Linked DNA regions of Rhinolophus ferrumequinum. The main gene of each other region encodes a partner of the protein of the gene in region 2 in a complex. Links are inferred from orthologs where the notes say so. Each region holds a gene or a part of one and is shown on either strand. Other genes may lie near its edges.

Region 1 (7,777 bases), on a different chromosome or scaffold from region 2:
TCTGGTCCACCTTGAGCTAAGAATGAGTTTTACATTTTTTAAAGGGTTGTTTTAAAAAAAAAGAAGGAAAAAGAAATAGAAGAATATTAGACAGATCTGTAAAGTCTAAAATAGTTACTATTTGGCCTTTTAAAGAAAAAGTTTGCTCACCTTTATGCTAGATAATTATTTGTTGATTAACAATTGGAGAATGGAGAAATCTATGTGTTGGGTGTCTGATGTTCCAGAAATATCTACTTTGATATTTGATATCAAATATCTACTATTTGAGTTAATTAAATGCCTAATATCTAGCACAGTGCCTTGTACAGAGTTTGCACTAAAGCTATAATTACAGAAGAATTGAGAGAAGTAAAATTTAGTACTGGCCCTTACAGATTTATTAGAGGCAAAATTAATTAATTCATATATAAAATATTTTTTATGAATATTATGATACTGACTACAAGTATAAAATAGGATTGTGGCGGGGGAGGGATTAAAGCACACAAGAATGTCCCATGAAGATTTCCAAGGAATAGTATTTAATTGGTGCAGAGGTGGTAGTTATTGATACATATACTTAGTTGAGAAAAGGGAGGCGGGAGAACAACATTCCAGGCTGGAATAAATAAGGGAAAAACTTGGAATTTTAATAGAAATGTGAATTCAAAAACTGGAAGAAAAGAAGGGATGAAGAGCAGAAAATCCTTAGGGGATTTGATCCATATCAGCTTTTCAAGAAGGCAATCCCTATCTAAAACTTCATCATTACCTACATTTTTTTCTACTTCATTTTTCTGTTTAACAATTCAATATTCATTTAGGTTGAAGTTAAGCCATGTTTTAAGGAATTCCTTCGTCATAATTCTCACTCCTAGCGGAGATTCATTATCCTGATGAAGAGTTTTGACTAGGAAGAAAAATAAGAAATTTTGGTACACATAGCTCTTAAGAAGTGTTTCAGTGGAGTTGAAAAAGAAGATGCGGTTACTGAGTCCTGGGTACTTGGTGGGGGGAAGTGGTAGTATAGACCAGGATTAAAGAGACAAGTACACAAGGGAACTAGCTTAAAAATAAACTTCTCTATCTAAAAGTTTTGCTGAAGCAAACCCTCCCCAAGGAGGAGACATCATAGTTTAGTGGAAATGAAAGGGTGTCAGAGTCAGACAGGCCAGGGTTTGAAGCCCAGGTATGCCACTTACTAGCTTTGTGATTTTGGAGAAGTTATTCTGCTTTCTGAGCCCTGGTTTTCTTCTAAGGTTGAAAAGAGACATTCAGTAAAGCAGCTGGCACTCAGTGGGCATTTAATATCTGTTCCCTCTTCCTCACATGACCACATGGCCAGGCTAGTATTAAAATTCAACTACATTATGAATTAAATCTTTTTGGGGGAGGGGGAAGGACTGTCCTGGCAAATTAACCATTTTGACTGACTTATGAACAAACTTTTAGATACAGTTTGGTATAAATTAGGGCAGTCTTAATTATGCATACATCTATGCTAAATTCCATGCTGTGAAATATGCTCTGATGGCAAAACAAGTTAATGGATGCAGCAAAGGAAGTTCTATCAAATTACAGAAATATGGGCCGGCCCGGTGGCTCAGTCTGTTAGAGCTCCGTGCTCCTAACTGAAGGCTGCCGAACACGGCACCTTGAGCTGAGCTGCCGCTGAGCTCCCGGATGGCTCAGTTGGTTGGAGCGCGCGTCCTCTCAACCACAAAATTGCCGGTTCAACTCCCACAAGAGATGGTGGGCTGCACCCCCTGCAACTAGCAACGGCAACTGGACCTGGAGCTGAGCTGTGCCCTCCACAACTAAAACTGAAAGGACAACAACTTGAAGCTGAACGGCACCCTCCACAACTACGACTGAAAGGACAACTTGACTTGGAAAAAAGTCCTGGAAGTACACACTATTCCCCCAATAAAGTCCTGTTCCCTTTCCCCAATAAAGTCAAAAAAAAAATTACAGAAATAAATAGCGCTGATCAGATCACTCCTGGAATAATATTATATTCAATTCAGGACACTACATACGAAACTAAACTCATCGTGAAAAGGGCAATTAGGACGATTCCTTTTATTTGAGGGCTATCACAAAACTACTGCGTGACCCTCACAATACGGTGAAGCTGGTATGACAGATGATAATTCCATTTTAGAGATTAACAAACAGGCTCAAAAAATAGGCATGAGTCTGTAAACTGAGCATAGAAACTACCCATCTCTGAAATTTCATAATTCTTTAGAAAGTTCTTGAAGTTGGGAAAGCGGTTGGGAGGAGGTGGGGTTAGATTGCCATGTTACAACAGAGATTAGGAAGAACTATCAAGGTCTTCAATAACGTGTGTGTATATACACACGCTACACACACACACAGTGGAGGCAAAGACACTTTCTGGAAGACTAGATGTACTTAAGGTATTGTTCTCAGTGATTCCTCCGAGGTGTGGAAGTCATGGATGAAGACGATCCACTTACTAGTTCTCTAAACCCTTGAAATGAATTACTATAAGCATGTACTACATAAAGCACATGGAAGTTAAAGTTCTAGGCTGTCGTGCAAGGACTAGATGTATGCCGGCTGAAACCAGAGAGCCGAGCAGCGACGGACGAGAGGGATAAAGTACAGGAGTACCAACTTCACTGAACGTAATGAAAAGAGCTGTCCAGCAGCGGAATGGAGTCTCCAGAGCAAGCGAGTGCCCGCCCTCCGGCCCTACGACTGTAGGAGGGTCGGCGAGAGGTCCGGGATAGATCCGAGGGCCCTAAAGATCCTTCTAAACCTGAGTCCCCGACTCTAACCACGGGAAGGGGCCCACCCTCCACTACCTCGCAGACAGTGAAGAGTCCGTAGGCCGCTAACCACACGGTGCTGGTGACCACGGTGAGTGAGCGCAACGAGAGCCGAGGGGAGCTGAGGCAGAACTCCCGGCAGGACGGGGAGTAGTAGCGACGCTGCAGGGCCAGGCGGCCGCCGCAGATATCCGAGAAGCTCTGCTCGTTCTCCATGGCCGGCCCGTCCCACCCCGCGGGTCCCGCCGCTCTAGCCGCCCGCTCTGGACCCACTTCCGGAGAGCGGGCTTGGCCACGCCCTTTCCCAAGCTCTGCGCAGCCTCAGTTCTGCGCCGAGAGCCCATGGGGCTGTTTAGGAGGTTAGGTTTTTCGTACTCCTACTCGGCTGGAATTCTAGGATTATCTACTCCAGAGACTCGTAGGGGACTAACAATTTAGCGGACAGATAAAAACCGCTCTTAACGCGCTTGTGCTCGATAAACTGATTTCTATTTCTAAGGCAGAATACGCCCGGAGGAGACAGCTCATTCTCATTCATCCATTCATTTCTGGGCCAGGAAGTTTCAGGTGCTGAGTATACAGCGGTGACCAATATTGACAAGGTCCTTGTCTTCAAGTAGCTTCCTTCCTCGTAAGACAAAAAATATAGAAGTAATTTCAGAGAGTGCTGTTGGCAATAAGATGACCAGCAGGGATGGCTTGGGGACTTTTCAACAGGGTATTCCGGAAAGCCTCTCGAGATACAAGGATGAGGAGCCAGATTGGTCTGGGGGAACTCTGGAGGAGGAATTTGCCAGGAAGGAAGATCAGGAAAAGCAAAGACCCAGAGGCTGGAACAAAGTTGGCTTATTGGAGGAATCAAAAGGTCAGAGAAGCTGACGCATGGGGAACGCAGTTGGAAGTTGGGGAGGTAGGTAGGAGTCAGATTCCTGAGAGTTGTAGGGCCTGTTAAAGAGTTTGAATATCACTGCCTGGGAATTCTCTCTCCCAAACCACAGCGTGGAGCATTGAACAGGCAGACAAGTCCTAGCTGGGAGGTAAGCAAGAGTGGAAAACGCAGAAAGTATGGATAATAAAATTAAACTTGTAATTGTGGCCTGTGGTTTCCCTCTTTCTCCTTCAAATGTGGCCCAAGAGTGTCTGTGTGGCCTGTTAAGAGTTATGATACTTGAGCCCTGAGGCAACATGTATTAATTGATCCCTTTATGTATAAAGATAAATGGCTTAATGGTCTCACCAGCTTTAAGTTTCTGATGAAAGGTTTAGTTTCTCCATCTATAACGAGGATTTTGTTTCCTTTTTTTTTCTAAAGGAATTTCTTCAATAATTGCTTCGTATTTCCAGTTTCTGTACTCTGAATCTTACCAACCAATACACCCCTCTCATGGTACATATCATATGATGTGCTTTATAAAAGATGTTTGCTTATTGTGGAAAATTTGAAAAATACAGAAAAGAAGAAAAATTTAAACCACTCATATTTCCACCACTCAGAAATAAACACTGTCAACGTTTGGAGGAAACCTCTAGTCCTAGAGTTTTTAACCTGGGCTCCATGGATAAAAAGCAGTTTCATCTTTAGTTTTATTAACTTCTAATTGAAATTTAACATTTATTTTGATTACAAACACAGGCAACAAACCAATTAGTATTAGTATACTTGTGATTTTTGTCACTGATAGAAACCACAGATATTTTCATTTCACAATTGTTAGTTCTCTCAAAATATTTTCACTCATTAGTACTTCAAAATTGCAATAATTATTAGACCCACTACTAGATCTTGTTATTTAATGTGTCACTAGAGACACACATTACTATAATATTTAAAATATATTTTGGTGACTGTAGTTTCATTTAGTTGTTTTTCTTTAATCCTACGTATTTTATTCATTTTAAAACACTGTAATAAGGGGTCCATTAGATTTGCCAGACTTACAAAGGGTCTGTGGCACCAAAAAGATTAAGAACCTGCGCAGGTTCAGAAGCTTCATAACTATAGAGTCATAGAAAAAAAGACACCTAAATGTACTTAATTTTTTAAATATTAAATTATTAGGGATAAATAGTGGTAATAGAATCCCCAAATCTCTATAACCAGTTTGCTCTGTCAGATCACAGCATCATCTTAATGTTATCGGTATGCCTAGTAGAGAAAGAATGATTTGGTGAACAACTAGACAGTCTTTGTTATACTTTCTAAAGTGTTTTGGCTACAAGAATCAGGAAATACATTTCAGTGAATTGAGCACCGTGGTGGCAGTAGGTAGGATTAATCTGATTTACCTTTGATAAGATGGGTAATTATTTCTACTGTGAAGTTCTTCTTGGAACCTGAGTGTCTATGAATATGAATAATAAGAAAAAATCTAATCAAAGAATTCAGTTAACTTTTAATTTTTATGGCCCACGCTGGATTCTTAAAATCTTTCTATAGAACTTTTTAGTATCTGCTTACACTTATGGAGTAAAAGGTTGTTCTAAAAATAGTATCTCATACTGTAATTGTTATTCTATTCACTTTTTTATTATATAGCATTAATGATTCCTGCTGTTTTAACTGAGAATATGTCTCCTTCTATATAGGGCCACATACCCATTGGAGAGGAAAAGTAAAGGCCCATATAAATCAAAAGAAATCCCAAATAGGCTTTTAAAAAGATAAGTATTGCCAATTATACCTCAATTTTTAAAAAAAATAAATGCAAACTTATAAAACTCGTTGCAATTTAGTGAAATTGATCAATAAATTAATTTATTTTGCATGAAAAGATAAGTATAACACATTTTATCTTTCCTTGTTTAGAATTCCATTTTATCTATATAGTGTTCGTGAGTGTATCTTTATATAGTTTTTTTAGTGGTTGCTTTAGGTATTACATTATATATTCACAACTGTTGTAGAAAAAAACTCAGTCTTCCTCCTGTGTTTCTCCTTTACTATCACACTACTACCACACTTACAATACTTCTGACACCAAATGTGTGGGGTTTTCTTTCCCCACACCAAGCGTAATTCTCTGTGACACCAGCTGGGTAGGTGTTCTACAATTTAACTCAATTCTGACACTATCTTCCTGGAGATCCTACAGATTAAAGGCTCAATCCTATAAGACTGCCCTCTACTTGGCTACAAATCAGAGGTTCCCATGATCTCCCCCTTGTATTAGATTATTAGCTAGAACACCTCACAGAACTCAGAGAAATACTTAAGTTTGCCCGTTTGTTACATAATAAAGAATATGATAAAAGATACAGATTAACAGCCAAATGAAGAGGTGGGTGGGGTTTAGGGGTGTCCCCAGCACAGGAGCTTCTGTCCTGTGAAGTTGGGTTGCATCACCCTCCCGGTACCTGGATGTGTTCACCTACCTGGACGGTCTCCAGACCCCGTACTTTTGGGATTCTATGGAGGTTTCATCACGTAGGCATGATCTATCATTAACTCCATTTTCTCTCTGGAGAATGGGGAGCGGGGCTGAAATTCTAAGCTTCTAATCATGTCTTGGTCTTTCTAGTGACCAGCCCTCATCCAGGAGCCATCCAGGAGTCCGCCTAGAGTTGCCTCATTAGAACAAAGGACACTGCTATCACCCAGGAAATTCCAAGGGATTTAGGAACCCTGTGTCAGGAACTGGGGTCAAAAAACAAATATCAAAATAAAAGATGTGCTTAGTGCCCTTATCACTTAGGAAATTATAAGCCTAATGTTTTCCCCTAACTGGCAGGATATTCTAATGGTTCTAGCCCACTGTTACATCCCTGATAAAGAGGCTGAGATCCTAAAGAAGGCCAGGAATTTGTTTAAATGTCTTTAACAACCGAGACAGAAAAAAATGAGAAATTAAGGAACAGTGAAACCTGAGGATAAGACCAGAGACAGGCCAGACTTTTGGCCACAGTTATAAATAACCCGGGGCTGAAACCACCTCAGGGCACCCCAAAAGCCCCAGAGGAAAAAACACCAGATAAAGGAGCCTGCTTTGGATGTGGAAGCCCAGAGCACTGAAATAAGGAGTGTCCTAATCTTCCAAAGCAGCCGTGCCTCCTGTGCAAGCTAAAGGGCACTGGAGGAGGAATTGCCCCCCGTTCTGAAGGGAGCAGGGACCAACTTCTCCCCAAAAATAGCTGTAATCACTATTGGGCCTAAAGTTCCCAGCGGCTCCCAAGCTATTCTCATCACAGGGGTAAAACTGCGGGTGACCCTGATGTGGCAGGTAAGCCTGTTAATTTCCTGATTAATATAGAAGCCATTTATTCTGTCTCAACTGCTCACTCGACCTTTTTCCTCTGAAGACTGCTGGTTGTAAAGATAAAGACAGCCCCCAGATTTGGGTTCATTTTACTCAGCCTGTTCCTTATCATTGGTCTATACCTTAGAGGAAATGTAAAATAAACAAACTAAACTTAAAAAGGACTCTGGAAAAGTTTTATTAAAAGACCTTAAAGCCCTGGCTCTAACTGCTGCCCACTGCTTTAGATTCTAACCTCAATTCTGTTATCTCCTATGTTGTTAGCTTGGGAAAGATTCAGCAGTCACTTAAATATAGGGGACCCATTAGTTCCCTAAAAGATTCAGGAGCATGTTTCATTTACAAGTAACAGCTGTGACCCCGGCAGAAAAATGTGTCAAGTTCACCGGTTGTTCTATCCACTGTTTTAATCTTTCAGCCGATATCACCTTAAACTGCAGCTCTGCTCCCTCTGTGAGTTATGCTAATGCACATGTCAAATTACCTGCTGGATGGTTTCTCATTTGTGGAAAGACTGTTTACTCTTATGTTCCAGCTTACTGCACCGGAGAACCTTACTCTCTTGGGAGGTTAACTGTCTTTTTACCTCAAAAATCTCATCAGGTTGGACACCCAGGGAACTTGCTCTAGATTCCAGCTGTAACAGTGATGTACATCTGTTCAGCACAGCTGAGTGTGTATCATTCTCTTTTTGTAGTACCAGCTCTAAGTATTGCCCTAAATGTGGAGATTGGCCAAATAGCC
Region 2 (7,701 bases):
ATTCCACAGAGCCCAGAGGCTTCACCTGCCTCCTCCCCTCTCGCCCACATCAGGGTGGCCCCTCCCACTCCTTCAGGCTCTAGTTTCCAACAACAGAGACTGCAGCCGAGCAGGGAACAGGGCCCAGGGCCTGGCCCCAGGTAGGAGACCCTCCCAGCTGGCCTCCCTGAGTAAGGGCAGGTAGAGAGGCCTGGACCCCTGCCTCAACCCTAAAGGGTTGGAAGTCCCCAGGATTGGTGTGGGGGCAAAGGAAAGAAGGGTCACTTTCCCTGTGTAAGTAAAGGAAGGCAGCAAGGGTTCTGTGGGCAGATGAGTTTGAGAAACACTTTTTATCTGTCACCCCCCACCCCTGCCTTGGCACATCTCAATACCCGTGAGCTTATTCAGGCCTCAGAGGAAAATCTATGGTGACCTTCATGGGTCTGTGTCTCCCCGAATTGTGTCCCAGGGACTACATCGGGGAAAATGGGACCTAGAGACACAGCTTGCTACCAGGCTCGCAGGTTGGGCCAGACTCGGGACCTGGTGGAACTGAGTTCGAATGCAGATCCCCCAAACGCCCCACATGCCTCAGTTTCCTCATCTGTAAAACAGGACATCAACATTGCGTGGAAGGGCACAGGGGAACAGAGAGAGCTGCTACTTGGCACACAGTGGGGCCTTCTTTCTCTTGCAGTCCCAAACTCTGACCTCCTGGCCTTTCCCACCAGCTGGCCAGTTGAGGGCCTGCACCTCACGCTGGACCCGCCTGGAGACCCCGCTCCCTCCTGGCAGCCCCGGCTGCTCAGGCAGGTCCCGGTGCCTGCAGGGGCTGGAGGGAGGCCCCGGGGCCTACACTGTTCCCCGGACGGCCTGCTCTTCCTGACTGCTGGGGCTGCTCCCTGCCTCCATGTGCTGGACCTCGAGGGACGCTCTGTCTGCCACCTGCCCTGCCGCGTGCCTGGGATCGGGGACTTTGTGCCAGAGGACGTCGCTGTGACCGCTGCTGGGCTCGTGGTGGTCAGCGACCTTGTCCATGGGGCCGTCCACACACTCCAGCATACTGCCCGGGACCCCCAAGGCCGCTGGGTGACAGTGGGTACCTTCCTGGCCCCCCAGGGGCTGGCTGTGGACGCCCTTGGCCGCTTCCTGGTGACGAACTATGTGCCGGGGGCTGTACACAGCTTTACATTGGGCCCCAACTTGGAAGCACTGGCCCCAGCCTCTGTGCTGGGTCTAGACGGCCCCCGCTGGGTGGGCCTGGGACCCAATGGGGGGTTTGCCGTAAGCGAGGAGTTTGGGGACGTGCAGCTGTTTGGCAATGCCTACCAGCCCCTGGGCTCCCTGGGGCGCCTGACGGGGCACACCTTCGGCAGCCCAACTGGTGTGTGCACCGATGCGGAAGGTAGTCTTATTGTGGCAGATGAGCAGCGTCGGGAGGTGACCCTGTTCCCCAGGACTGGGGCACCCGTCTGCTTGGTGTCCAAGGGGCTGGGGCGGCCCTTGGGTGTGGCCTGTGTGCCCCAGAGTCGGCTGGTAGTGGCCGATGCAGGGGACAGCTATATCAAGGTGTACCAGTACTCAGAGCTGACCTGACCCAGTGGGCTTGGATGGCAGCCTGGATTCAGCCCTCAGGTCACCGAACCACCGTGAGAGAGGCATGTTCAGGGCATCGGAGGGCTGCCGGCCATGCCCTCCTGACCCTGCACATTTTCTGAGCACCTGGTCTGGCTTCCTGGCTTCCTCTTGGAAAGGATTCAGACTTGGTCAGCAGGCATGAATCAGCTGCCTGTCAGCACCCCCTGCAAGGTTCACAGCCTCCAAAGCTGGTTCTCGCCATGCCCCAGCTCAGGGTGCCCCAGCGCCGTTTGCCCCCATGTACACCCAGGCCGTGGCCCTGCTGGCGGAGGGCCCAGGGGGCCTGAGCTTTGGAGCCAGCAGCTGAAGCCTGGAGATATTTGGCGTGCTGGGCCAGCTGCCAGCTCTTACCCAAGCAGGATTTCCCGCCAAGTGCCCCAGCCCCAGTCTCCTAATCAGACACGGGCAGGCAGGGTAGGTGTGGCTGGGCTGAGCTGCACTAAGCTGGGCGGCCTGGGAAAGGGTGCGGCCCCTCACTGTCCCCCATTCTCAGAGGTGCCCGAGGTTCCGAGCACCTTCTGCAGCTTCTCTGGGCCCAGCTGAGGTAAGGAGGAAGCAGATGGGGGCTGCCCTGGAAGCGCCCTGGGGTGGCACATGGCTCCATTGGGAGCCTTCATGCCCTTGGCCACTTCTCCCACGTGAAACCGTCTCACAGGCTGTCTGACCATTCATTTTCTCCCCTGTAAACCAGGACCACACAGCCCAAGTTCATGGGCGGGGGTGCTGGGAGGGTTATGGGCAGTGGTCCCATCTAGGAGAGGCTTCCTACGGGGACATGTGCCTGCTGCTTAAATACAGCAGGAAAGTGAGGCCCCAAGAGGGTGGGGAAGGGCGGGTTACTCTGAGTCTAGAGCCCAGTGAGGCTCCTGGTTCCAGCTAGGGGTCTCCAGGGGGAGGGGACAGTGGCTGGTCCGGGCCCTGAGAGCTGGTGAGGGGGTGCTCCTGTCTGTGACCAGGACTTTCAGGGTCTGTGGTTCAGGCCATCACCTCTGACAAGATTCCCTCCATAAGTCCCAAGCCTCTGTGGGTAGGGGGATTAAATGGATCAATCAATGTAAGGAACCGTGTGTAGTAGATGCTCAATAAACATTAGTTGTTGCTGGTGTTAGGGGTATTGTTTCCTGGAGCAGGAGGGACCAGGGACACCCCTTGACGATCAGATCAGTTGGCTGCTGCCTCTGAGCTGGTCCTCCAGGGCCCAACAACTTCCTGGTCAGCCTGTCCCTAGGGGAACCTGGGGGGGGGGGTGCCCCTCTGCAGAGACCAGTGTGTGAGGGGGCCAGGCTAGGGCTGGGGAGGGAGCTCTTTTATGGGATCCCACTAGGGTCTGGAGGTCATTTCACCCTGGGAGGGTGGGGGCAAGGCGAAGTACAGAACCCTCAAAAGCCAGGTCCACTGGGTCCCTCAGATGAGGAAACCCAGGGAGGTTTGGCGGCTGGGGGAAGGTGAGGGGCTGGAAGGCAGGGGTGTTACGGACTCTGCGGGTGGACTGGAGGGGGATCAAGGACGCTAAGCGGGGGGGGGGCACAAGGTCACTGGGGGGGAACAGGGACGCTGCGGGGGCGCGAGGACAGGGACGCTGCGCAGTGGGGGTCACAAGGGCGCTGAGCGCGCATCACTGGCTCTGGAGTCGGGAACGTTGCGTGCACGGAACGCTTGGGCGAGGCCAGCGGGCAGCACGGGCGCCTTTGGGGGCCGGACCGTCGCGCGGCAACGTCGGGAACCCGCGGAAAAGGGACTCGTGTCCCGCGGCGCGGCCGCTGTGGGGCTGGGGGCCGTGAGCGCGCTTGTCCGCCCGGGCCCCCGCGACGTGGTCCCCAATTCCATCCTGACCCCGCCGCCCGAGGGCGCGGCCCCGGGGAGCAGCCGGTGAGCGTGGGCGGGGAGGGCCGGCGTCCGTGCGGCGTGACCTTGGGGAGCTGCCCCCCCTGGCCTGGGCTGCGGGCCCCGACACAGGCGGGCGAGCGGGAAGATCTCTCCGAGGCTCCTCCCGGGTCCGGCCCAGGCCTCCCGCCGCTAGGAGCCTCTGTTTCATCGTCGGTAAAATAGGGACGTCACCGTTTGCCGCCTCGAGGGGGCCTGCGACTTAGGAGAGCAGTGAGCGGCCCGCGGAGCCGGGTTCGCTCCGATCAGGGAGGATTCGTGGCCGGGTGCGTGGGTGCTCTTAGCGGGGAGGCTGGTCCCAGTGCCGTGTGCGGTGAAGGGCCTCGGAATGATTCCCTTTGACCCCCCCCCCCAACTTGGGGCCTGCTGCGGACCCTTTGGAAGGGGATTCAGGGGCAGTGGAACTGGTTGTCAGCACTTTGTCCTTGTCCTTGACTACAGCAAAGGGCAAACAACCAGAATCCTAGATTCAGGTCCCTTCTTCGGAAAGGAGAGAGAAAAAGCACTGTTCACACAACGTGAGAAATTTTTTTTTTTTTTTTTTTTAACACAAACGACCTGGAGTGAAAAAAAACGAATTCTTTTGAGCTATTGAGGAGGGAGCAGTGGTGGGGAGGCTTCGCAGAGGGGGGTTCCGGCCAGTGAGATGTCCCCGGCTGGTCCTACCTGGGCTGTTCCCTGAAATAAGTTCACGCAGAGGGTGAAAGGGAAGTGCAGCTTCTGCTTCGTAAGGCAGACTGTTGACCTTCAGTTCTGTGGCGAGGGGTGTCCCAGAGATCGGACTGTTTCATAAGGGAGCTCGGGTGTCGTTCTTAACATGGGAGGCTTTTCCAGGCCTGGACCCCCCAACCCCCCTTTATCACAGTCTTGAAAGACGTGCACGTTGCCCAGTTACTGCCCTGCTTTCCCCCATCTGCACCTCTGCTATTGATTGCCTGCTCTTTCATCTCTTTCTGGCCGACTGATCTGAGCAGACTTCTTTGTGTTCCTCACTCCCAGAGGCTGAGGTGGAAGCTGGGGTGGGAATTTGCACCATAATCTGTTAAAGAGTTCTCGCTCGCTACCCCACGGATAAGAACACCCCCTTCTTGCCCTCTGCTCTTCCTTAGACATGAGGCGCTGCTGCTTTTTTTCTTTTCCTTTTTTAGGTAAACTTTGTGGATGAAGCGTAACACACACAAAGGAAGTGCACAAGTTGTACGTGTACAACTCGGTTTTTCCCAAAGGGAACGCACCGTAGAACCAGCTTCCCCCAGAGAAGCTGTCAGCCGTTAGAGCAGTTGTACTTCTTTTCCGACGGTAGCCATGAGCGGTTTTCCTTAGCTCCTGGGAAAGGCGTCCCCAAGCCGGGTGTGATGGTGTCATTTGGGTGAGTTGGTAGGTGCCTTTCCCTCCCACGATGCCATCAGGAGGGCAGCCCCTGCAGAAGGGTCAGGAAGACGAGTTGGCACTGCATGCCCTTGTTGAGGGTTGCAGGGATTTGGCCTGGGGCTCTTGTCAGGCTCCAGCCTTTCCCCGGCCAGCACCCACTGTTGCCTGCCCTCCCTGGTCACTGGAGGAGGGGCATTTGGGAATCCTGCTGCTGCTAGACTCAGAGGGGTCCTTTTCAGCTGGAACCCACAGCTGGGAGAGGCCCCTTTTCCTAGCTGCCTGGAGGAGGCCTTGACCCTCCAGCCCCATGCTGGGCTCCTGCGAGGGGGGAAAGCAGCTGCACCAGTGCCTCTTAACCCCGGTGTTTATGTCTGTGAGGCTCCTCTTAAAGCCCCCTGGCCCTCAGGCAAAGGCTCCCTGTGCCTCCTACAATGTCACACTGCCCCCACGTTGTGTGTCCCTCTCTGTACCTTGCCCCATGGGCCTGGTGAGCACTAGAGCTCGGAGGCCCAGGTTCAGTCCAAGGCCTGTGTCTGTCCCTCAGGTGTGGCCTCCAACGTGGGGGGGGGGGTCTCAGCTCAGCGCGGCTGTTCTGTCCTTTGTGCCGAGTAGCTGCAGTTGGTGTCAGAAAGGGCATGCTCGAAGGTGAATGCCCTCAGCACCATGCGGTTGAGGTCCTGCTGCCATCTGGGAGGGGCTCAGGTGGGAGCATGAGGTACTTGTTAAGAAAGCCTCATCCCAGGGAGCTTCCTTCTGGGCAAGTTTAGGCACAGGGTCCCACCGCGTTTAGGAATTGCAGCCGCTTGGGCTGCAGCCACTTGCAACTGAATTGCTGTTGCTGCTCAGAGGCCGTGTGAAGGTAGTGAGGGGCCTGGAAAGCTTGCATCTCTCATCCTGAGACAAGACGACAGGCTCTCTCCATTCCCCAGGGCGACCAACTTCTCCCACCCCGATTTCTAGATAGCCACCTGGTTGGAAGAATAGTGCCCCAAGGAGGCGCTCGGCCCTATCTGGAGGCCTGCGCTGAAGTGGCAGATGGATGGGCTCTCAGGGCAGGATGGGCGCGGCCATAGGCTGGGGGGTCAGATGGAGGCAGAAGCCCCGTGAGAGCTGAGCCTTTTCCCTGAGCACTGAGGCTCCCCCAGGGGCACGTCCCAGGCATCTTCTGAGGCGCCTGCACCAGTCGGTGCCCACAGCCGCCAACAGTGTCCACATGTCTGGTCTCCCTTAGTCCCGCGGCAATTTGTTTAAATTTCATCTTTATTCTTGCTGGCTTCGTAAGTAAGTCAAGGTTCGATAGAATTTTAATTTGCGTTACTTTGTTAATGAGACTGTACATTTATCCCCGTGCTACACATAAAAAAGCAAATCAGTTTCTTTTTATGTGTAAAACAAAAGTTGAACCTCTTGCTCAGTTCCACACACCCTGTGGGTGGTACTGAGCAGGTCACATAATCTTGCCCTGGGTCAGCCTGCTTCTCACTGAATTGGGGGAAAGCGTTGACCTGCCTCGGGTCGGGGTGAGGGGTGATTTGGGGCCTGTGCTCGCAGCTGCCCAGGGCAAAGGTGAGGGAAGCGCCCATGGGAGATGGGCAGCTGGGACCCCCCACTGGCCTCCAGGATCAAACCCACAGCAGGGTCACCCCAACCTGTGGGCCCTCTAGCCACGTGGACATGTCCGGCGGGGTATCTGCGCTACACACTGGCCAAGGCCTGCGGCCACAGCCCTGCCAGCCCCCCTGGGCCATGGAGAGCAGTGGCGGCGCAGCATGTCTGAGCTGAGTCTCCCTCGTCTCTTGCAGTGACCCCGGCATGGTGCTCAAGGCCTTCTTCCCCACGTGCTGTGCAGCGGCGGACAGCGGCCTCCTGGTCGGACGGTGGGTCCCGGAGCAAAGCAGCGCTGTGGTCCTGGCTGTGGTGCATTTTCCCTTTATCCCCAGCCAGGTCAAGGAGTTCCTGGCGCAAGTGCAGCAGACCAGCCAGGTGGGCGTGGCCGTGCTGGGGACCTGGTGCCACCGTCGGCAGGAGCCCGAGGACAACCTGGGCCATTTCCTGGAGGGCCTGAGTGCCATCTTCTCCCATGAGCCCTGGCTCCAGCTGTGCCGGGAAAAGGGCAGCACGTTCTGGAGCTGCAAGGCCACGCGCTGGCAGGGGTCCACCTCCCCCGGGGCCCCCAGCGAGGACCAGGTCATGATTGTCTTCTACGACCAGCGCAAGGTGCTGCTGTCCCAGCTGCACCCGCCCGCGATCCTGCCTGACCAGGAGACTGGCGATGCTGCAGCCGGCGCTGTGGGCCTGGCTGCTGTTTTCCACACGGTGGCTCGCAGCGAGGTGCTCTTCCGAAGTGACCGGTTCGATGAGGGCCCCGTGCGGCTGAGTCACTGGCAATCGGATGGTGTGGAGGCCAGCATCCTTGTGGAGCTGGCCAAGTGGGCCTCAGGGCCCATCTGCCTGCTGCTGGCCAGCCTGCTGTCCCTTGTCTCAGCTGTCAGTGCCTGCTGGTAGGTGCCCCTAGGGCCGGGATGGGACGAAGTCAGGCTTCTGAGTCTAAGGCCCACCCCTCAGTGTGCAGGGGGCCCAGGCAGGCCTTCCAAGGCTCATGGCCGCCCCTGTACCCCAGTTCTCCCGTGCTCCCTCCCCTGGATCTCAGAGGACATCCTGATGGTGGCTGTTCTTGTGCCACTCGCTCCTGGGGAAGAGCCAGGCTTTCTGGCAGCCTCAGCGGTTGCATGGGACCCACCAGGTAGAGGTGCTGGGTGAACCTCAGATGGCTCCAGCCCCCGAGGGGGAGACGAGTCGATGGACAGATCGGGCTGTCACCCGAGGACC
Region 3 (7,250 bases), on a different chromosome or scaffold from region 2:
GCTGGCGGCCTCCTCCTGGAAGCCAAGTCCTCAGACCCCACCTACATTCTAGACTGAGACCCCGCCCCCAACGAATGTTCTCCTGCTGCCCTGGCAGCCTGCACTTTGCACACGCTTGTCTTTAGCACAGCCCCGCTGGCCCTCGCCTGCCCTTCCTCTGATCCCTTCCCAGGGGTTCCTGGGTGCTGCCTGCTGTGCAGTCAGCGGCCCAGCTTTAGCAGCCCGGCTGGAACGGGGCACTGCCTCTCCTCCCTCCCGTCAGCTCCAGCTCAGGCCTGAGACCCGTGCCGAGAAGGTTCCCTCTGCCCAGGGCTGGGTCTCGAGCAGCTGGTTTCCTGTAGGAAGCCTGGAAGGAGCCTCCCAAGCCCGTGGAGGTCGGGGGCCTGACCGTGCTGGGCAAGCACTGCCCCATTTTTCCCCTCAGGGTCAGCTGGCCCTGGCCTGGGACCAGTGCTAGAGGGGCAGGTGGGCTGTGACCGGACTGGCTGGAGCTGGCTTCCTGGCCAGAAAAGCCTCAGCCCTCCTCTGAAAGCACCCCTCTCTTTGGGCAAGGGAGAGGCAGGCCCTTTAAGGGGGGCTTTTCCAGCAGGGAGCAGTCTGGCTCTGCCCCTGCGCCTTGCTAACGCCTCTGCTCTGAGCACTTTCCTCCCGGTCCTCGTTATTTGCTTGAAGGTGGGTTCTGGCTGCCAGCCAGCCTCTGGACAGACTCCCCTGCCACTCTTAATTTCACTCATCTTTGTATAAACCCAGCAGGCTGGTGTTTACTTGGCCCTATACTTTTTTTTTCCTTTCCTCTTTTTTTCTTTATTTCTTTTTCTTTTTTTTTTTTTTAGGGTTCACAGTTTGATATTTTCTCCTCCCCCAGGTGAGGGGAGGTGGTTCTGTTCTCTGCCCTACCCGCTGGCTGGGTCCCAGCAGGGCTGGGGATCTGGATGGAGAGCCAGGATACGGGTTCTCTCTCTCGTAGGGGTTAGGGTGGAGGTGCCCTCCCCAGGGTGGGAAGGGTCCTTTCTGCCCAGCTGACAAGAGTTGGAGTCATGGTCTTGGAGCCTCCTGGCATTGGAGTCAGAGCATTTCTAGGATTTTGTGGTGGTTGTTATTGTTTTAATCACCTAACTCTTTTAGAAAATGAATGTTAGAAGGTGCCTGCCGAGGCAGGATGGAGCATTTGCTCTGGCTGGAGAAGGCTCTGGTCAGCTCTGTGGGTCCCTTCCTGCCCCGTAGACACCTGGCACTTTAAAAGGGGACCAGCTGCACTGTCTCCAGATGAAGTGGCCCCCAGAAGACGGGGCAGTGCCGCTCTTCCCTCTGTCTGCATGACCTCAGCCCAGTGGGGAGGTGCATTCAAGGTGTATTTGGGGTCTGATTCAAGTTCTGGGGCTTTAGGCATAAAGCAGCTGGCTTTGGTGCTGTTGGGGAGACTCCCCCAAAACAGGAACCCCAGCCCCTCTCTAGGCGAGGTCTGAACTTGACAGTCACCCCAGAAGGAGACAGAGCCTGCCACATTCTCCCATGACAGGCCCTGGGCCGGGGTAATTGGACAACTGAAAATTCGGCCACAACCAAATTGATGGTGGCTGGAGCTGGAGTCCGGAAGCTCCGGCCTCATCCCCATATGGGAGCTCTATTCTTCGGCCCTCTGGTCCCTTCAAGCTCAGTGAATTCGCACTAGGCACCCACAGCTCCTGGACTTAAAAATTCTATATATATAGAGAGAGATAGAATATATTAGAGATATTTTTGGAAAGGAATTGGTCTATGCAATGCCAGTTTGGAATCTTCTTGGAAGACAGTTTTAACATTTTTACTAGGAGATTTAAAGAAAATAAATACAATATTTTTAGGTTATTTTTTTCTAGTCACCCCACAAACTGACCATAGGGCATGATCTGCCAGGATGGAGAATGTCTACGTTTTCCTCTCTTTAGGGAAGTGAGCAGGGAGATGGGGGGGAAGAAAGGTCTTTTTTTTTTTTTAATTCCCCTCTTATCTAACAATGTCGCCACCACCACACCCTAATTCAATGGGCTGTGTTTGTATCCGTCCCAGCTTCTATTGTAGAAAATAACATTGTAAAGGGAAATCAGCCTAGTCAGTGTCTTGGTTTGGGGGACAAAATTAAATGTTGCAGTTTTTGTTTGTTATGGCATGTTGGTTCTTGTTTGTTTGTTTTACCAACTTGACTTTAGGATCAAAGCATCAGATGGAAGCCAGATGTGTAAGGTGATGGTCGGGGGTGGGGAAGGTGTAGGTGGCCAGGGTTCTCCAAGTCCCGGTGCAGTCACAATTGTGACCACCTTTATTACACCAGAGTCCCGGACAGGAAACGGGCCCTGGAGAGTAGTTTCCTGCCAGTCTCAGACCTCAGAGCCCAAGTTCTAACCACTGCTCTACGGACCTCCGCAGTAGTCAGGTGGCTTTGAACAAGCATGCCTGAAGACAGAAAACTGCCTGTGCCTCAGTTTTCTCAGCTGCGGGCTGTGAGGCTGTGGATCAAATGAGAAAGTGGGTGTACAGCCTGACCTATGGGAGGTGCCAAGTTCATTCCCATCCTCTAAAGCCCCAAGCCTGCATTGTCTCCAGGCCTAGGCCCCTCATCCCTGCCCTGTCTCAAGTTACAGAGCAGCCTGCACCAAGCTCTGGGAAAGGCAAGTCGCCCTGGGCCTTTAATGATCTCAGAAGTGGCAGGAAACCTTAGCGGCTTTGAACGGGCCAGAAGGGACCAGACTACCAGGCCTCATCCCTGTCACAGCACTGCATATCCTCACCCCTTCTCAGGGCTGATGTCCAGGCTGATTCTCAGTCCCTTCCTTTGTTCAGTGCACACCTGGGGAGGGAAAAGTTGGCTCCTGACTAAGCCCAAAGTCTCCTGAGACAGAGGGAAGGAATTGGGCTTTAGGCCCAAAAGGTTGCTCCTTTGGAACACAGTCATGCTAAATGAAAAATCAGCATACCAAAGGGCAGGGAATAAAAAGGTTGCTCCAGCAGTTGCCATAGTCAGAGATGGGCTCAGATGACCCAAGGAGGCAGATGCTGCCAGCCAGGTTCAATCTCCACGTGCCCCTCCACCCCCCAAAATGGAGACAGCAGGAGAGCCTCCACACAACCCCTCAGAAGGCCTGGAGTCCTCAGATGCTGAAGGCTAGCATTCTAGGATCTAAAATGTCAAAGAATCTTAAAGCCAGTTGGTTGATTCAAAGCTCCTACTTTGTGCCAAGCCCCATTCTGGGCATTGGGGATACAGCAGTGACCACAGACCCTAGGCTCAGGGAGCTCACAGGTGGGCCACATCAAGTAAATCGGCTAATTAAAACGGTGCTGAGAAGCGTCATCATGGAGACACAGTTGGGGCTGTGGAACACAGAGGAGGGAACCCCCGTCAGGGAAGTTGACTTCCCTGGGATGTGTAGCCCTGATGAGTGAGGAACAACTAGCCCACTAGCTTTGAGGAGACAGTGTTCCAGATTCCAGAGCTGGAGAACACATCAAAGGTGATGAGGCCCAACCTCCCCTTGCTCTCAGAGGAACGGACCTCCAAGCCTGGAGAGGATCCTGCACACGCGGCCATTCCCAAGACCTGCCTGGACTGCTGCTAGCGCTGCCGCAACACCCAGGGCCCCAGAGGCAGACGGTGAGGGAGGAGAGGGTCACCCTGGCCTCGTCCCTGCAGTGAAGACAGGACAGGGAAGCCAGGCGCTGGTAAGGGGACGCCTACCCTTACAGCCAATCGAAATGAGCCCCATCGCAGCAGGCTTGGGCCAGCCCCTCCTCCTCCACCCCCAGCCGGGCGGTGAACATTTTTTGCACCCTTCCCTCAACACACATTAGGGCCTCGGGACCAGGAAATAACTGGCATGCACACGCCAGGTTCTGGTGTCGGCTTCACCACAGACACGAATTGTGATCTCCCGCAAGTCCTCGCCCGTCTCTGAGCCTCATCAGTTTCCCCATCTGAGAAATGAGACTTCCAACTCTCCCCTACCAGATCTCGCTCTGGCTTTGGGACTCTGGGATATTTAGAAATGGGCTTTTCTTCAGGGGCGAGTTCGACAGGACTGAGGCCACGAGTACCAGCCGGTCTGGGTTCCCAACTCGGTCCCATTCTCTAGGGAGATTCGGGAACAACTTGTTCCCCCATACCCTTGAGAAACTACATTTCCCGACATGCAAATGGGGAGGCGGCGCCTGCCTGTCTTGGGCAACGTAGTTCTGGGGCGGCCTTATGTTCGGCGACTCCCGGCGTGCCCCGCAGCCGAGGGCCCAGATGCGGAACCGGATGTGGCTGGCTGCCCCGGTGCGGAGCACCGGGGAAATGGTGAGTTTGTGGCAGAGTGCTGGGGTTGGGGATCCCTGGTTTGTTTAGGAGCCGGAGCTTGGGCACTCGGAACCAGATTGCTCTCCCGCCGGCTCATTGTACAGATAAAAACGCTGAGGAATCAGACTGCGACGCCGCCCCCCCACCCCAGTAGTGCACCTAAATAGAGGCACTTCGTCAATTGAGCCCTCCCTTTTCTCCAGGCCACCGGGACAGACCAGGTGGTGGGACTTGGCCTCGTTGCCGTTAGCCTGATCATCTTCACCTACTACACCACCTGGGTGATTCTCTTGGTATGTGTTCTTCCTCCGCCCTCTCTCACCTTCTCCCATTCCTGGGTCCTGCAGCCGACCCCACTGTGTTAGGTGCTTTACCTGAATATCTTATGAAATCTCCGGAACAACACTGTGAGGAGGATGCCAGTGGTATCCCCATTTTGTAGATGAGGAAGCTGAGGTTCAGGGAGAAGGGTCGGACTCAAGGTCGCGTTCTTAACCGCTGCAGTGTAAAGCCCTGTTCCTGATTTGCTTTCCCTTTGATGGGTCCAATCCTTCTGGTTATTCTGCTGGCTCCCGGGCATGGCAGGTGCCAGTGGCTTTCGTGAGGGCCTTTCGGATGTGTGTGTGGAGCAAGGGTTTGGTGGTTAGTACTTATGTGCAGTGTGTTTGGAGGGCAAAGTCTTGCAGAACTTGGTATCGTTTGGGGAAAATTGTCAGTAAAGAAGATCTTGGAGCCCAAATTGGGAATTAGTTGAGGATTCCTCGTGTACCCTTTGCCCTTGCTAAACTGTGAGGGCATTAGGGCAAGTCCTTCGACTTCTGTTCACTGCCAGGTCCCTAGCACCCACTTAGGGCAGGTACCAGTCAAGTGCACAGTAAACTACCGTGTTTCCCTGAAAATAAGACTGGGCCTTATATTAATTTTTGCTCCAAAAGAAAAATTAGGACGTGTTTTCAGGGGATGTCTTATTTTTTCATGTACAACAATCTACGTTTATTCAAATACAGTCATGTCATCTTCTAGAACATCGTCGTAACGTACTAAGTGCGCCTGTCTGGCTGACGATCTTAACTGGGGCTTATTTTCGGGGTAGGTCTTATTTTCAGGGAAACACAGTATTAAATAAATGAAGGAAGGAAACAAACCAAGGCATCCAAAATGCCATCTTAAACAGAAGCAAATGCTGTCCCAGTGCTTTGAGTGGGTCAGCCCGAGACAGAGGAGGTGGGATGTTGGCTTGGGGGGGCTGGGCAAGGCAGGGAATGCTCACTGGAGCTCTGCCCTCGATGCCAGCCATTCATCGATAGCCAGCATGTCATCCACAAGTACTTCCTGCCCCGAGCCTACGCCGTTGCCATCCCACTGGCCGCCGGCCTCCTGCTGCTCCTGTTTGTAGGTAAGTCATCATGCCACCAACCCTGGGCAGGGTGTCTCCCACCCCTCCATGTGTGGCCACACTTTGGCACTTGCTGTATGTCTGCTTGCGGCTCTTTGCCCCCAATTCACCCCCAGGGTTTTCCTGTTCATCCTTCAGGGCTGCAAGTCAGTCTTCCCATGCCTCAGGCTCTCATGGGATGTCTCCCTTTTTCCGGTTCGCTCCACCGGCATTGCTCTGCTCACACCTCAATCACCTCTCACCCCCTTGTCACCCAGGCTCATGGTTCCTGCACCTCTTTGTCTCCCATGGTTTAGTTTGTGGGCTTCCCAGGACTGGGGCTTTATCATGACTGTGTCCTCACAGGCTGTGGCACTAAGCTGGTGCTCAATAGAGTGGTTTGGATTAGTCAACAATCGGATGACTGGATGATGCAGTCGGTGGGTGGATGCTGGATGTTGAGTGGGCAGGTGGGTGGGTGGATAGGTGGGTGGACAGGTGATGGATTGGGTGAGTAGATGGATAGCTGGGTGCAACTTGTACCCCATAGAATCTGAGAGACTAAATGTAGCAAACTGCCTGTGGCAGGCACTCAGTGGTGTGTTTCGAATGAATGTGGGTGGATGTGTGGCTTGATGGATGGCTAGGGAGATGACCAGGTGGTCTGGAGGGTGGTTGGGAGGGGCTTGGTCCCCTGTATGTGTCATTGTGCCATGCCATGCCCTGCTCTGGCCTTAACAGCAGCCCTGAGCCCCGATCTTATCTGGTCTTTCTGGTCTGTATATTCCAGGAGTGTTCATCACCTATGTGATGCTGAAGAACCAGGTGACCAAAAAGGCTCAGTGAAAGCCCAGCAGGGATGAGGCTGCTGGCCCCTTCTCTGCTTCCCCGCAAGGGCATACCAAGGGCAGGGGTCCACAGGACCTATTCAGGCACTGTGGCGCCCTCAAACCTGGCTGCTCTGCAGACACCCTGAAGGATGGAGCTGTTCAGAACTCACCCCTGACTGACAAGAGCACCCACTGCCCTGCTCACCTTTCCAGAAGCTAGGAGGGAGGAGTACCTGAAGTCTCCCTCTCTCCCCCTTCCGGCTCAGGGCCTGAAAGATGCTAGTCCTCCCTGCCTCACCTTCAGACTCTGTCATTTGTTTTCCTCTGGTTCCACCCTCTTGCCTCAGTTTCCCTCCTGTTACCTGCTGATACTGGATTTGGCAGGTTCTAAGACATCACATGACCTCTCCTCACATGTCCTCCTCCATGAAAGCAGCTTTCCCGGGTCTGACATAGCCCCAGATCCCACAGGACTTCTGGACCTGGAACACCTAGGCGGGGGGACAGACAGGCCCCAGGACCACCGCCAGGCCTCAGGGCGCATTAGAGTGGCCACACTGGGCCCCCAGACCTGCTGCTCGTCATGGAGACCCAGCCCCTCAGTCCTGACACTGGCCTTGGCCTGCTGGGGAGAACTGAACAATAAATGTTTTGGTGTGTTTGTTTCTGTGGCATCCCTGACCAGGAGAGCTGGGCTGCTTGTAGTCCGGAGAGGGTCTAGGAGCTGGCC
Region 4 (6,095 bases), on a different chromosome or scaffold from region 2:
ATTTATTGGACGTTTGTTTTTAATGTACTCATTACAATTGCAACTTATTAATAAATATTTTGTGATTTTTGTTCCTAAAATAGATGTTATCAAATTAAGGAAACTGTCAACATAAAGGCAAATCTTCATAATCACAGAAAGAAAAGTACAAGCAGAAATAAATGTTAGTTCAAATACTGAATGATGCCATCTAGTGGAACACTGATTTTAACTTACTCTCTGGATCAGAGTCCGTAATTTCAATGCCCCCAAATTTAGTATTTATGGGACTTTATTAAAATATGTATTCTACATAGCCTCTCCTCTGCCTGGAGATTTTTAACTCATTTAATGTATAGAATAGCCCAAGAGTGTGTTTCAATAATATTCACATTGGAAACTATAAAAATTCCATGTTAGTTAAAATTAAGGTGATACTTTATGCTTTCCTTTTTCATCAGCATTTTCACCAATTTCACCATAATAAGTAATTTTGCTGCTGATAACATTCTTTTAAATGAGTAGTCTATGCCAGCCCCTGTGCTAACTGCTTTACTTGTATTATTTTATTTAATCCTCCCAACAGCTGTAATAAAGTAGGTACTATTATAATGCTACAGCCAGGTGTACCTGGGAGATATCACAGGTTTGGTTCTAGACCACCATAAAAAAACAAGTATCATAATACAGAGAGTTGTAATCTCGCTGGTGGAAGGTCTTGCCTTCAGTTTGTAGAAAATGCAACATCTGTGAAGCATAATAAAGCCAAGTGCAATAAAACCAGGTATGCCTATATTTTAGACGATTGAGGCAGAGAGTTTAAGTATCTTCCCCAAGGTCACACAGCTAATACGGTACCTGAGCCCATAGCCCATCGTGTTATTACATGTGTGTACAGGGCTCTGTGATAAGGAAGATCATAGTCACACCAATAGTCAAAAAAAAGACTAATGATTTTACAATTCTATACTGTCACCTACCTTCAGCTTAGTATACTACATGCAAAACTTAGTTGCATTCCTTAATTACTGAGAGCCGTTAAGGAACATTTTGCTTTGACATTTTGCAACTTGTATTTACATGGTTTGGATTAATACACTTTTATGTTCCTTACATATTAGTTGTAGATTTTTGCTGCTATAAATTTGAAGATGTTTTCAGTACTTTGCTGTTACTCTCCATTTTTCCCCAATACTAATATAAATGAAAGTAAACTGATCTGCTTCAAGCCTTCTATGTGGAGGCAAACTGAAACTAATTTATTTATAACTGGTTAGCAAATCCAGTTGATAGGGATCTGTCAGGCAGGCCAGGCAGCTGAGGCTAACGAAGCTGGCCTTAACCACGCATGCCTGCCCCTACCCACACCTAGCCTGCCCAGCCTGGCCTGGCCCACTTAGTGCTGGCAGAAATCAAGCTCTGCTTCCCCATACCTCACTGAAACGTATCTTTCCTATAATTCACTCTCTCCCTAGGGCCCACAGTATCAACTAACTACAAACTGAAAAATTAATTGCTGCTACTGCCCTCGGAGGAAATAATGTGACGATAACATAGGAACTTTGAAATTGTCCTTCCTGAGGCTACAAACCTGACAACTGCCCTGAGCTGAAATCTTCTGAACACTAGTGAACAAAGGGTGTTAAATAATGTAGTAGATTTTAAAAAATAGAGTGAGCAAACAATGTAAAATTTTCTCAGTTTATTGTTACATTGCTGAGTGGAAGAGAAGTTTGTGTATGTATATCCCTCACCCTCATTCCTACCTCCCAGGAGCTCAAAGTGTGAAATGGTAAAGCCCATTGATGTCAAGAAGGTTCAAGTAAATATTCAGCAAAACAAAGGGGGAAAAATGATGACTAACAAAAAATCTTGTAGTGTATTGAACTGGGAAGAACAGAGGAAATAAAAATAACAATAGATAACATTAATTGAGCATTAATTTGTTCCAGGCAATTTTCTAAATGTTCGGAATGCATTAGGACATTTTAATCCCCACAAGGGGATTTCATTAGGTAGGTATAATTATGAATCTTATTATACAGATAAGAAACCTGAGTAATTAAGTCATTTGCTGGAGTCACTTAGCTGGTAAACTATGGACCTGGAACCAAACTGTCAGGCCCCAGAACCCCAAATCCTTATCTACTAAACCGTAAGAAAGAGATCAAACCTATATCAATTCCTTGGAGAGTCAGAGACAAATATAGGGCGAAAAATCCACTAAATGGATCACCCCCTTAACTAATGGACATCTGCATGATCACGCAGTTATTTAGAGTCCTCGATGTCTCCAAGCTCATTTATACAAGTAAATTAATTGTGAGTTATTATATAATTGAATTCATGAATCCCTCAGGGTAAGAATCTGGATGTCTTGGAACGTTAACAAGACCAAGCCATTCTTTTCAGGTTCTTAAATCTTTTTAAATGAGAGAAGAAAAAGAAATTTGCCAAACACGGTTACAGGAACTGTGATATAATAAAGATTTACATAAAACAAATTAATGCTTTTAACATACCCAACATGACAGTGTTTGAAACTTCATTTGGGAGATAACCACATAGGTCCAAGACTAATAGTGTGTGACTGTGAAGTCCGGCCAATGTTTCCTGGCAGCCTGCGACCGTTTCTGGTGAAAACTCAAGGAACCCCGACTTATGCATTGGTTTTGTTTGTAAATGGTAAACGCGGTGGAACAGCCACCAGACGCCTCCGGTAGCAGGTCACGCTCAGCACTCTTATCGAGCAGTGCTGCGGCTAAAAGCAGTCGGGAGTGCCCACGGAACCAAAGCGCTCGGCCCCGCCTGCCCGGGGCTGAGTTTCCAGAGCACCGGGGGGCGGGGACTGGCCTGTCGGCTGGAAGTGCGGAAATCGCCTAGAGCGGCCCGAGCTGGCGAAGGGCGCGGTGAGAGGCGGTCGCGGGCTGCCAGACCATGCTGAGTGGAGCGAGGGGCAGGCTCGCCTCAGTGCTGCGGCAGACACGCGCGCCGTCGTTCGTGGTCGCCCGTAGGTGCCTGCGCGTGTCGAGGTCGCGGTCGTCGGCGGACGGGAGTGAGAGGGGGAAAGTGCCCCAAGCTTTCGACCCGGCGCTGCTGGAGTTCTTGGTGTGCCCGCTCTCCAAGAAGCCGCTCAAGTAAGATTAGCCGGCTGCGTTTCCTTTCATGGCCTCCCATTGCGGGGAGGAGGCAAGGGGACCGCGCGGCCGCTTGCAGCCGTGGGGGAGCCTTTCAGGTCAATCCGGGTAGTCTCCGCTGCCATTTTCTGGGGGCCCGCCAGTTCCCACGCATCTCCCTCTGTGGCAGGAAAGGCGGGAGGAGAGCCAAGCCCCAGGCCTCCCAAATCCAACCGCCGACCCGCAGGCCTGAATAGAAACTTAGAGGTTCGCCACGGACTGGGCGTTAGAATTGCCGGGGTACCTTTTAAAAGTGTAGATTCCCAGGCAATATCCCAGGCGACCGAGTCGGAAGGTCTGAGGGCAGGGCCTGAGCAATTCTGTATTTTCTTAGAAAGACGCAAAGTGTATAATCTAATACACAGCCAGGTTTATGAAGTAGTGGGATTCAGGAGTAGTCCATAGCATTCACGTTTTTAAGCCAAGATGATGGAAAAAAAAATACCGTAGTAGCCTCCAGATTCTTGTGAAAATGTCTACAACTGATGCCTGACTATCTTAAGCGTGTAAACTACGTGTGCTGCCCTTTGGCTTTTAGTTCTGGACTAGCTGGTTTTGTAAAGGCCTCCTTAACCTTTAGCTTACAATCCTTAGGATAAACAACTACAGTTCCAGGTTGCTAAAACTGAATTTTGACAACACGAGTATTGCAGATTGAATATACTGAACATCAAGATGTTATGAGTGGCTAGCTTTGGGTGGTAGATTGCTAATAATTTTAATTTTCATCTTTTTGCATTTCTTTCTAAATTTTTCCTATAATTAACATACTCAATTTTCTTAAACCTTCAAATTATCATTTGATCTACCTTTTAGCTAATTGTGTAACTAGCTCACTGCAGATTGGTTTTCCAATTTTCTCATTTCTGCCTTTTCAGCTTTCACAAACTTTTGTGTACTTTGATTTTTCAGAGGTTTTCTTCTAATGGATCAGTTAGGCTGCTCTAGTACGCCTGTATTCTAAAACAAGGAAGTTGAAATTTTCTCTGTCCCAGTAGTAAATTAACTGGGACGGTTTTGGAGATGACCAGAGTAATGAAGGAATGTTTGGATGAAAAAGGGAGAGCTTTTCTGACTGGTATTTTAAAAAATTAAGGCGTAGCTTGCGAATAAAGTGAAAAAAATATGAGAAACTGACTAAAATGGGAACGATTAGAGATTCATTTTCTATGAGAAATGGTTTGACTATTGCTGCTTGTAGAATTAAGTTTTTTTGTTTTGTTTTGTTTTTCTTTTTTAATTTATTGGGGTGACAATTGTTAGTAAAATTACATAGATTTCAGGTGTACAATTCTATAATACATCATCTATAAATCCCACTGTGTGTTCACCACCCAGAGTCAGTTCTCCTTCCATCACCATATATTTGATAGAATTAAAAGTTTAATTCTGCTTTTCTGGGATTAACTCTGAAGAATTGGATAAACAGTGGTGTTTATTAAACATCAAGCTCTTCCAAGCATTTTGTTTTCCACGATTCATTTTATTTTTCTTTTCCCTCAGATACGAAGCATCAACAAATGAATTGGTTAATGAAGAATTGGGAATAGCCTATCCAATTATTGATGGGATTCCTAATATGATACCACAAGCTGCTAGGATGACACAGCAAAATAAGAAACAAGAAGATACGGAGCAACACTAGATCATAATTAAAAACAACAAACACAACTAAATTTTCTTAATACCATCTACGTTTTAAAAAGTCAGGGTGGCAGGTAATAAGTGGAGGAGAAGAATGTTTCTCTCTCTTCCTGTGTTGACTGTCCTTATTCCATTGGTCTCTTTAGCAGGACTGTTCTACTCGGCCTCTGTGGAAGAAAACTTCCCACAGGGCTGCACCAGCACAGCCAGCCTGTGCTTTTATAGTCTGCTCTTACCCATTACTGTACCAGTTTATGTGTTCTTCCACCTTTGGACTTGGATGGGCATTAAACTCTTCAGGCATAATTAATGCAGCTAGAGCCCAGATGGTACATACATTAATGCTATGTTGAGTGTCTATATCTGAAAGCTCAGCTGTATGGAAATACCAGGCACACGCCTAATTTGTAGGAAAGATGCTTTACCTTACTTCTGTCAGACTTAGGACTATGGGATCTAATTTATAACGGCTATGTCAGAAGAAACATTTCAACAAAAGTGTGTTGTTTGAAATTATAGTCCTGACCATCATCTGATGACTTTATTTCTTACCCCATTCATCTGAAAGTTCATTTGAAATTTTATGTTTTAGAGTAGAAGTCTTTGGTAAAGTCACGTTACAGATGACTGCAGTAAATTCCACCAGAGCTATGTTAGAATAGTTGGAGAGAAACGCATTTGAACTAGTGTGATATAAAACTACAATAAAGTGGAAATTTTATGGACTTGCAGAAATTCTGAGTTTGTAAAATTCATTTCTTTGGTATCAAATGCTTACATTACTAATAAGACAACACTTTTCCATAAAAGTTTTCATGGTTTTGTATATTTTGTTTTTGGTCTCAAGAATGTGGGTCTAAGGAAGGGAAAAGTGAAAAAGTATTCTAAAATTTAAAATGTAGGCTATTTTTAGACACTTAATAGCCAAATAGAATAATTTCCCAGGAAAGTATGTACTTTTGGAGGTAGAGGTAGGGTTAGAAGACTTGCAAATAGCTGTGTCCTATTGCACTTACAGCTGTGTTTTGAGCCACATTTTAGTTTATTTTCCTGCCTTAGGAGACCTGTTTAGCACTACTAAGGGCATGAGTATCAGAGACATTAATAGTTCCTGATTTTCCAGAACTTTCAACAAGACTGATAGAGAATAGTACAATAACTATTTTAGAGGTATAACAAATGTTTCAGTAGTTACCCTAAAGAAACTAAGAATTGAATATACTAAACTTAATTGATTCTTACTAGAATCTTAAAGTAGTTTAACAGAAGCTTTAGACAGTGATTCTTATCCATCAA

Evidence for each region.
Region 1: PIGQ (region 2) and PIGH share a complex: the UniProt entries of both Homo sapiens proteins name them as parts of the glycosylphosphatidylinositol-N-acetylglucosaminyltransferase (GPI-GnT) complex. The link is inferred for Rhinolophus ferrumequinum from reciprocal best matches to the Homo sapiens genes PIGQ and PIGH.
Region 3: PIGQ (region 2) and DPM2 share a complex: the UniProt entries of both Homo sapiens proteins name them as parts of the glycosylphosphatidylinositol-N-acetylglucosaminyltransferase (GPI-GnT) complex. The link is inferred for Rhinolophus ferrumequinum from reciprocal best matches to the Homo sapiens genes PIGQ and DPM2.
Region 4: PIGQ (region 2) and PIGY share a complex: the UniProt entries of both Homo sapiens proteins name them as parts of the glycosylphosphatidylinositol-N-acetylglucosaminyltransferase (GPI-GnT) complex. The link is inferred for Rhinolophus ferrumequinum from reciprocal best matches to the Homo sapiens genes PIGQ and PIGY.

The regions. Positions count from the first base shown.
Region 1 is NC_046289.1:29,113,430-29,121,206, reverse strand, and holds the start of PIGH (phosphatidylinositol N-acetylglucosaminyltransferase subunit H), read right to left. Parts: upstream 3,068-7,777; 5' UTR 2,997-3,067; coding exon 2,817-2,996; intron 1-2,816. UniProt on the Homo sapiens protein: Part of the glycosylphosphatidylinositol-N-acetylglucosaminyltransferase (GPI-GnT) complex that catalyzes the transfer of N-acetylglucosamine from UDP-N-acetylglucosamine to phosphatidylinositol and participates in the first step of GPI biosynthesis.
Region 2 is NW_022680357.1:2,531,631-2,539,331, forward strand, and holds the start of PIGQ (phosphatidylinositol N-acetylglucosaminyltransferase subunit Q), read left to right. Parts: upstream 1-4,660; 5' UTR 4,661-4,856; coding exon 4,857-4,870; intron 4,871-6,674; coding exon 6,675-7,373; intron 7,374-7,701. Other genes in the region: NHLRC4 (NHL-repeat-containing protein 4), read left to right, coding at 84-140, 677-1,575. UniProt on the Homo sapiens protein: Part of the glycosylphosphatidylinositol-N-acetylglucosaminyltransferase (GPI-GnT) complex that catalyzes the transfer of N-acetylglucosamine from UDP-N-acetylglucosamine to phosphatidylinositol and participates in the first step of GPI biosynthesis.
Region 3 is NC_046295.1:76,946,739-76,953,988, reverse strand, and holds DPM2 (dolichol phosphate-mannose biosynthesis regulatory protein), read left to right. Parts: upstream 1-4,154; 5' UTR 4,155-4,222; coding exon 4,223-4,315; intron 4,316-4,518; coding exon 4,519-4,608; intron 4,609-5,608; coding exon 5,609-5,711; intron 5,712-6,480; coding exon 6,481-6,536; 3' UTR 6,537-7,181; downstream 7,182-7,250. UniProt on the Homo sapiens protein: Regulates the biosynthesis of dolichol phosphate-mannose. Regulatory subunit of the dolichol-phosphate mannose (DPM) synthase complex; essential for the ER localization and stable expression of DPM1.
Region 4 is NC_046288.1:42,455,402-42,461,496, reverse strand, and holds PIGY (phosphatidylinositol N-acetylglucosaminyltransferase subunit Y), read left to right. Parts: upstream 1-4,856; 5' UTR 4,857-4,893; coding exon 4,894-5,109; 3' UTR 5,110-5,252; downstream 5,253-6,095. Other genes in the region: PYURF (protein preY, mitochondrial), read left to right, coding at 2,917-3,116, 4,659-4,800. UniProt on the Homo sapiens protein: Part of the glycosylphosphatidylinositol-N-acetylglucosaminyltransferase (GPI-GnT) complex that catalyzes the transfer of N-acetylglucosamine from UDP-N-acetylglucosamine to phosphatidylinositol and participates in the first step of GPI biosynthesis.